2 linked regions of the Danio rerio genome follow. The protein of the gene in region 2 binds, or shares a complex with, the protein of the main gene of each other region. Links are inferred from orthologs where the notes say so. Each region holds a gene or a part of one and is shown on either strand. Other genes may lie near its edges. The genes, in order: lamtor5 and lamtor1.

The links.
Region 1: lamtor1 (region 2) and lamtor5 share a complex: the UniProt entries of both Homo sapiens proteins name them as parts of the ragulator complex. The link is inferred for Danio rerio from reciprocal best matches to the Homo sapiens genes LAMTOR1 and LAMTOR5.

The regions. Positions count from the first base shown.
Region 1 is NC_133183.1:26,634,819-26,638,750, reverse strand, and holds the start of lamtor5 (ragulator complex protein LAMTOR5), read right to left. Parts: upstream 2,381-3,932; 5' UTR 2,255-2,380; coding exon 2,220-2,254; intron 2,130-2,219; coding exon 2,068-2,129; intron 1,442-2,067; coding exon 1,324-1,441; intron 1-1,323. UniProt on the Homo sapiens protein: As part of the Ragulator complex it is involved in amino acid sensing and activation of mTORC1, a signaling complex promoting cell growth in response to growth factors, energy levels, and amino acids.
Region 2 is NC_133190.1:46,802,954-46,806,885, forward strand, and holds the start of lamtor1 (ragulator complex protein LAMTOR1), read right to left. Parts: upstream 2,583-3,932; 5' UTR 2,400-2,582; coding exon 2,358-2,399; intron 1-2,357. UniProt on the Homo sapiens protein: Key component of the Ragulator complex, a multiprotein complex involved in amino acid sensing and activation of mTORC1, a signaling complex promoting cell growth in response to growth factors, energy levels, and amino acids.

The sequences.
Region 1 (3,932 bases), on a different chromosome or scaffold from region 2:
TAACACAAAATAAATTGAGCCAAGTACTGAGGAAATATAGCTACTATTTAAAGTAAACAGAAATTAAATTAACTGTGTGGAATCTGCCTTTGTAAGCATGCGTTACAACTTACCCTCTGTTTGTTACAACGTGCCCCACTGCTGGGGCAAATAGTAACATTTTTGCTCCTGGCACTTTTGGCAATACTGCACAGAAACTGTAGGAGACAGTTTGTGTGTTGTTGGTACAAAAAATGGTTTGTCTAAGCCCATTACTTTGTTCATTATTTGGCCAAAACCAAAAAGTGTTACTTTGTGCCCTGCTCTTCCCTATCCCAGGTCAGACGGTGCTTACTCCAGGTATATCAGTTTCTAAAAATCACAGCTGGTGGCAAGTTCAGTCAACTTAAGAATCTGCCAACCATAAACACACAAGACATTCTCAAAAGAATAGCAATTCCACAAGTCATGGGTGAGAAATTAATGCTAAAAAAAAAAAAAAAAAGAGCGCCTTTTATTTTTTCGTTGTTCTTGTTTAATGGCAAGTTACATTCTTTTAGCATATTGCCAACAAATTTGTGGCTGTGCAGACATTTTTAAAACCGTTTAGTTAAATGTTCAATCTTTATTAACTACTGTGTACAGGAATTATAATGTTAAAATCAATTGATTTACTTTGTTTAAACCCATCCGCATTAACTTTAAAAAAAGATGAATTACATCTATTAATTAGTAATACATATGCCATGCATTATATTGAAATGGTTCCATTGCTTTCATTACTTTTGATTGAATATCCATAATGATAGTGGCAAAAAATTAACCATTACTTAAAAACATTTACTTGATAATAGTGCTTTTTTTAAAATAATAAACCCCCAAAAACTCATAAGAAATCATATGCCTCTCTATAATTATATCCATACTACAAATATCAATGATTCAATGAATCACTCATTAAGACTTGCCGCCATCTATTGGTGGTTTTGAGTGATATTGATCCAAGACAGTTCTAAAGCAACCAAATGACCAGCACAAAATATTAATCCTTGATGAATTAAAATGAATGGAATACTTTCTGAGAAAGTCACACGCCAATTTGATAGTTTCAATACTTATTACACGTCACTATATATACACTTTAGTGACAACTGGTGTGTGTGGAAGAGGGAAGGTATAATGGGATGAATGACTTTCAAAGATTGTTGTTTAACTGACTTTCCCTCATTTAACTTTCTTAATTAATGTCATCGATTTCTGCAGATTGTTTTGTTGTCTCTCAAATCAAAAAATTCTCAAGATACATAGAAATAAGACAGATGCTGGTCAAGAAGCTTTCCTTACCCACAGTCAGACTCCAGGCACACTGTAGGACAGTCGGTGGCATCTTTGGTTAGAGAAGCAGCCTGCTTGGCCAGTACAGATACAACTCCTCCATGTTCATCAGATAGTGAGCCCCGGCCTGGAGATTAAAATATTTGTAATGTCATTGAGAATTACAGTATATTTTCAAGTTCTGGAAACCAAATGGAAAAGAGTCAACTGAGAATCTATATAAAGCACAATTCTATAACCCTATATTTTGTTGAAAAGTTTTAAATTGTATATTGTTTTGCACATGGTAATACACTGAAAAAGCAGGCTTAAAATGCTCAAGTTGAATTAATTTATCAGATTAATATTTTTAATACTACACATGCCATTATAGATTTTACTACTCAAACTATATCTATACATCATTTAATTTTACTTTACATTTTTTTTGCATAATTACATTTGAATAGGCTTGTATTTTCTCCCAGTTAACCATGTTTTTTTGTTTACCATTGTTTCAGTTAACTTTAAGTTGGTCAATAACACAGTTATAAAGTTGTCCACAGTAGACACCCGTTCCCTGTTTTGAGAAACAAATCAAACTAATAAAAATTCAAAACGTTTTACATACCTTCAACACATGTGTAAATATTAAAAGCAATATTAACCTCTTGTTGCAAGTGAAAACCCAGTACATGTAAACCAAGCAAATCATGGTCACCAGAGGAAAACTATACTAAGGGAAGTATTAAGGAAAATATAAAAATTACTTACACCCTAGATTATGTCCTTGAGCGTCTGTGCACAAAACCCCAACAATAGCTGGATTTTTCATCCTAGAGTGAGAAAGGAGATCAGTAAATGAAGACGCAAAACGAGTAACGTTACATGCGTAAGAAAAGAAAGTGGTTTCTTTTTAAACATACGTATCGTCAAGATGCTGCTCCAGTGCACCCTCCATAACAGCGTCCTAAATAAGGCTATTAAACTAATAAGAAACACGAAATGTTCAGAAACTGGCAGCGATGTTTGTTACTTGGATAACTTCCGGGATGTCAGCTGACAGTTTAACACGCGACTTAACACTACGGCGCCCTCTAAGGGACAACAAGCAAATAGGATCTAGCGCCATCTTACTCAAGTCAGGATGGTAGGTAAATGGTCCTCTTTTGTTTGCTGCTAAACCTCGACAAGTAGTCAGTCATACAATATAATTTTTTGGGTTAAACATTTTAATTAAACTAAAATGAACACACAAGACATTCTCAAAAGAATACCAATTATACCACAAGTCCCACAGGAGAAATAAATGCTAAGTAGAAGAGTGACTATTTCTGAACCAAAATGAAAAGCTTGAATTTATTAATATGCAGCTGTTGGAATAAATGAATGTTCCTGCAGCACTGCTATTGACTGATCACCTATAATTCAGAGTCTAGATCTTCTATATCCTCGTTTTTATGTTGAACAAATAATAAATTCTTTACAAACCATTCAATGCTCTAAAAAGCAAGTAGGCTACATGTGGTTAACATTTAGCTGGCATTGTCAATGAGAACTCCCAGAGGAACGTGTGAATCTTCGGTGTTGGTATCTCTCTAAATGACCTTGTCCCCTGACCAGACGCACAATAAAAGACCACCGTCAATTGTGTCTGAGCTCAAGCTCTTTATCAGACAGTCTTTTCCATTTTTAACTCAAGATATTGAAGCACTCTCTTTTATAGTTTGTGAGGTTGGTTTAAGAGCCGGGTTTGACATGAGACACATTTTTTCTCTGTCACATCCATTAACTATATGTTTGCTTAACTATATGCGAAGCATATTATAAAATATACTATTACACAAGTTGTGCAAAGTGCAAAGCATGAATCAGGTTAGCAAAGTCAATATACATGCAAATAAGCTGGCAGAATAATAGCTGCCTGTTTCTGCCTCTCTAGAGCCCATCAGAACAGTTTAATCTTTCCTGACTGGATGCAGCCTTATATTTGATGAATATCATTTTTATAGGGTTAATTTAATTCCTTAACTTCTGTCTATTGATGATCGATTTATTTTTATAAATATAGTTTCATTACAATATTATTATTTTTGCGTGTGGGTATATATATACATTTAAATATATATGGATTTTTAGACTACTGATTTTTGTGCAGTTTAAGTCTTTTAATAAGATATTTTGCTTAATTTATTTTACAGTTTTCCTTGGATTGCTTTCATGCAGCCGTCAACTGAAACTCCACATTTTTAAAACAGTTAAAACACAGGCCTAAACAGCGGCACTCATGGTCAAAATAACACATTTTGGTTGCAAAATGCACATGCCGTGTCAAAACATTTAAAATATGCAACAAAAGCTATTTTAACCTTCAAACAACACAACTTGCTAACAAGTATATGAGCTCTTTCAATTAACCATTACACAATGAACAACAAAATACAAAATACAGACCTCAGTGTGAATCAGTGCACCATTGCTTGCCATTGTAACCTATTGCCAATGCCATTTGTTGTCTTTTTATTTGGGCTGCCTTTTTGCAAAGAATTGGATCCAGAATAAGAAATGCCTTTATTAAATTTATGTTGAATTCATGACATTTTTTCAAACTGTGGCTTAAAACTGAAATACTGTTAAAA
Region 2 (3,932 bases):
TACACAGCAAAGGCGCAATGACCAGGAAAAATAATTAAATTAAATAAAAATAGAAAAAAAGAGTGGGCGATATCCCAATATAAAAATAAATCATAAATACTCCTCATACTTTCGTACAACTGTTATAAATACTCCCAGACCTGAAAATCCACTAATACATTCAACTTTTCCATCATTGAGAAAACCCTTAATACTACATATCCCCAAACATTAACATTAGGACATGTCAGATCTGACACATTAGATCCAAATCCAACACAATTTACGACAAATCCCACAGAAACACCAGCTTTAGTTCATTAAAAAAACACACGTTGATGATCAAATATACATAAAAAAAGTAGCGTAACTGGAATAATTTTGACGCAGTTTTGACAAACACTCAGCATTGAGCTGTTCTTGAATCATAAACACACAACTGTATTAAAAATGTGTCGTAAGTAAATGTTGTTGCAGGACTACAGACGCTACATTAAGCTGCATTATTAGTGTTTTGGGTATTTGTCTGTACTGGACAGCATAACACCAACTTTTAGTGCAAACCCTACAATATTTAGACATTTTAATTTAAAACATTTTCACGTTTGGCTTCAGTTTATTATTTAAAACCAACTAAAATCATAACTGCATTAAACTGTATTAAAAGTGTGTCGTAAGTAAATGTTGTTGCAGAACTACAGACGCTACATTAAGCTGCATTATTATTGGTATTTTAAGTTATTTTTCAGCATTGGACAGCATAAAACTAACTTTTAGTGTAAATCCAACAAAATTTGCACATTTTAATTTAAAAACCTTTTCACGATTGGCTTAATTAATTTTTTTTTTTTAGCTCACTAAAATCAGAAATACTCCTCATATTTTCGTACAACTATTATAAAAACTCCCAGGCCTAAAATCCACTAATACAGTGGTTCTCAAACTGTGGTACGTGTACCACTAGCGGTACGCAGGCTTCCTTCTAATGGTACGCAGAGGAATCCTACATGTCACGTACAAGCAACATATATTTCAAAATTTATCAAAAATGGTTTGAATATGAATATGATGACATATAGCCTATTTATGAGGTCCAAGCAACATTTCCAGGTTTTGATAAATAGGACTTTACATTTAAGTACAGCAGTTTTTTTCTATTTAAGGACAGTAACCTACCATTTTTATTAAACCTTTAAAAGCACATTAATTTAAACGTTAACATTAATTTTTTTGTTTGTTTGTTTACATATAAGCAGAGTACAGTCTTAATGTTACTATTTATAATGTTTAAAGTGGCTTATAATAATAAATATCCTTAATAGTAGTAGTTATTTTACCACGTTATTAAACTGTGCAGAGCTGCAGCTGTTTTACTGGGCCTACTACGCTACTGTATTTCAATACCGGTCATTATGGTGGTACTTGGAGGAACAATCTTTTCTGAGGTGGTACTTGATGAAAAAAGTTTGAGAATTACTGCACTAATATATTTAACTATTCCATCATTGTGGAAACCCTAACACTACATTTCCCCAAACATTAGCATTAGCACATGTCAGATCTGACACATTAGATCCAAATCCAACACAAAACTCTCAATTTAAGACTATTTCCACCGAAACACCAGCTTCAGTTCATTACAAACACACGCTTATGATATAATATACATAAATAAAGTAGCGTTAGTGGATTAAGTTTGTTGTAGTTTTGACAAACACTCAGTATTGAGCTGTTCTTGAATCACAAACACACAACTGTATTAAAAGTGTGTCGTAAGTAAATGTTGTTGCAGGACTACAGACACTACATTAAGCTGCATTATTATTGGTATTTTAAGTTATTTTTCAGCATTGGACAGCATAAAACTAACTTTTAGTGTAAATCCAACAAAATTTGCACATTTTAATTTAATAAACCTTTTCACGATTGGCTTAATTTTTTTTCTTTTTCACTCAATAAAATCATAAATACTCCCCATATTTTCGTACAACTGTTATAAAAACTCCCAGGCCTAAAATGCACTAATATATTTAACTTTTCCATCATTGTGGAAACCCTAACACTACATTTCCCCAAACATTAGCATTAGCACATGTCAGATCTGACACATTAGACCCACATCCAACACAAAACTCCCAATTTAAGACTAACTCCACCGAAACACCAGCTTCAGTTCATTACAAACACACGTTAATGATCAAATATACATAAATAAAGTAGCGTTAGTGGATTAAGTTTGTTGTAGTTTTGACAAGCACTCAGTATTGAGCTGTTCTTGAATCACAAACACACAACTGTATTGAAAGTGTGTCGTTAGTAAATGTTGTTGCAGGACTACAGACGCTACATTAAGCTGCATTATTAGTGTTTTGAGTTACCGGATCCGTCGTCTCGCTGTCGCTGCTGAAACAGCACCCCATGATGGCCGCCCAGCGGGTTCAGTATCCTGAATTTGGGTTTTTTATTCGTCTCAGGAGCGTTTTTGAGGTTGTGTTTGCCTCTTGGCTGTGAAGAGATTTGCTGCAAACGCAGAAACCATCACATGACAGCACTCCCAATCGTGTCACGTGTCTTCCGTCTCCACACTGGCACGTCAGTTCCGCCCCAAAAACCCGTTAAAAACCTTCATAGATATATACATTAGATGTCGCCTGGCCTATTGTTGTCTATTGGACGGAATGCGTCAATAGCGCCGCCATCTTGCTACAGGGTAGCGCTCCTTTGAAATGAATGCAGGACCAAGGTACAGTGGAGGACTGTGGCCATCCAAAGCCAGAGATATACACATATATCTATGATCGGGAGTTTTCCTGGATGTTGTATGTAATTTTTTTTTTCTAATTACGAAAATTATAATTTTACATCACATTCCTGACAAAAAGCTTGTGTTTGTGTGTACAGAAATGTACTATCCACCCTCCCTGTTAAATTTGATCTAATCATGTCCTGAAACACAGCTCCTCTCCTGCTTTCACTTCTCATACTGACGGAGCGGGAGCGAGTTGGAGCTGCTTTGCCTTATGGTGAATGCAGTAAGTCACTGTTTTCATCAATAACGTTACCTGATTAGCACAAAAGTTCAGAACATACAAAAACAGAAAAAACTTTTTATTACCTATGGAATGTTCTGCCTTTGTGCTTTGTTTTCTGTTTTGCTCGCTAAAGTCCCGCATCTTCACGTAATAACACTGACTTGACTAGTGCGGTTGAATGACATTTGTACTGGGAGCACTGTACCAATGTGGCGGCGCTATTGACGCATGCTCAGGGTCCCTATGCGATATCTAGTGTGTGTATGTATGTATATATGGAATGTATATATGTATGTATATATATGTATGTATATATATGTATATATATGTATATATATATATGTATGAAAAACCTTTAGGAAACCTTTATGAAAAACCTTTAAGAAACATCATGCTTTTTTTTTTTTTTTTTTTTTGCAATAATAACAGTACTTTACAACAAATACAGATACAAAACTGAAAGTATGGTACAATCAATAGAAATATTACTTTTTGAAAAAGTGGAATGTAACAAATTTAGAACAAATATAATATAGGTAAATCAAAATAAAGACAACGAGAGAGAGAGAGAGAGAGAGAGAGAGAGAGAGAGAGAGAGAGAGAGAGAGAGAAATAATAATAATAATTAAGGGCACATGACAAAGATTAAACAAATTATTGCAGGATATTAAATAAAGCACATATTTTATAAGTTTTAATAGCTTTCTTATTGTGAGAGTCTGTGATGGGTTTTTTTTTAAATAAAGAGCTAGTTCTCGTTTAAAAAAAAAAAAAAAAATAGGCTTACAATGAGTATATTTGCATTTGTGTATAAAAAACTTTCCAATAAATAAAATGTGGTTTATGCAAAAAGTTGAATTAAGGAATTCTTTTCCTTTAATATAAAACCACAAAATAATATGTCTATAGCTTAAAGAAAAA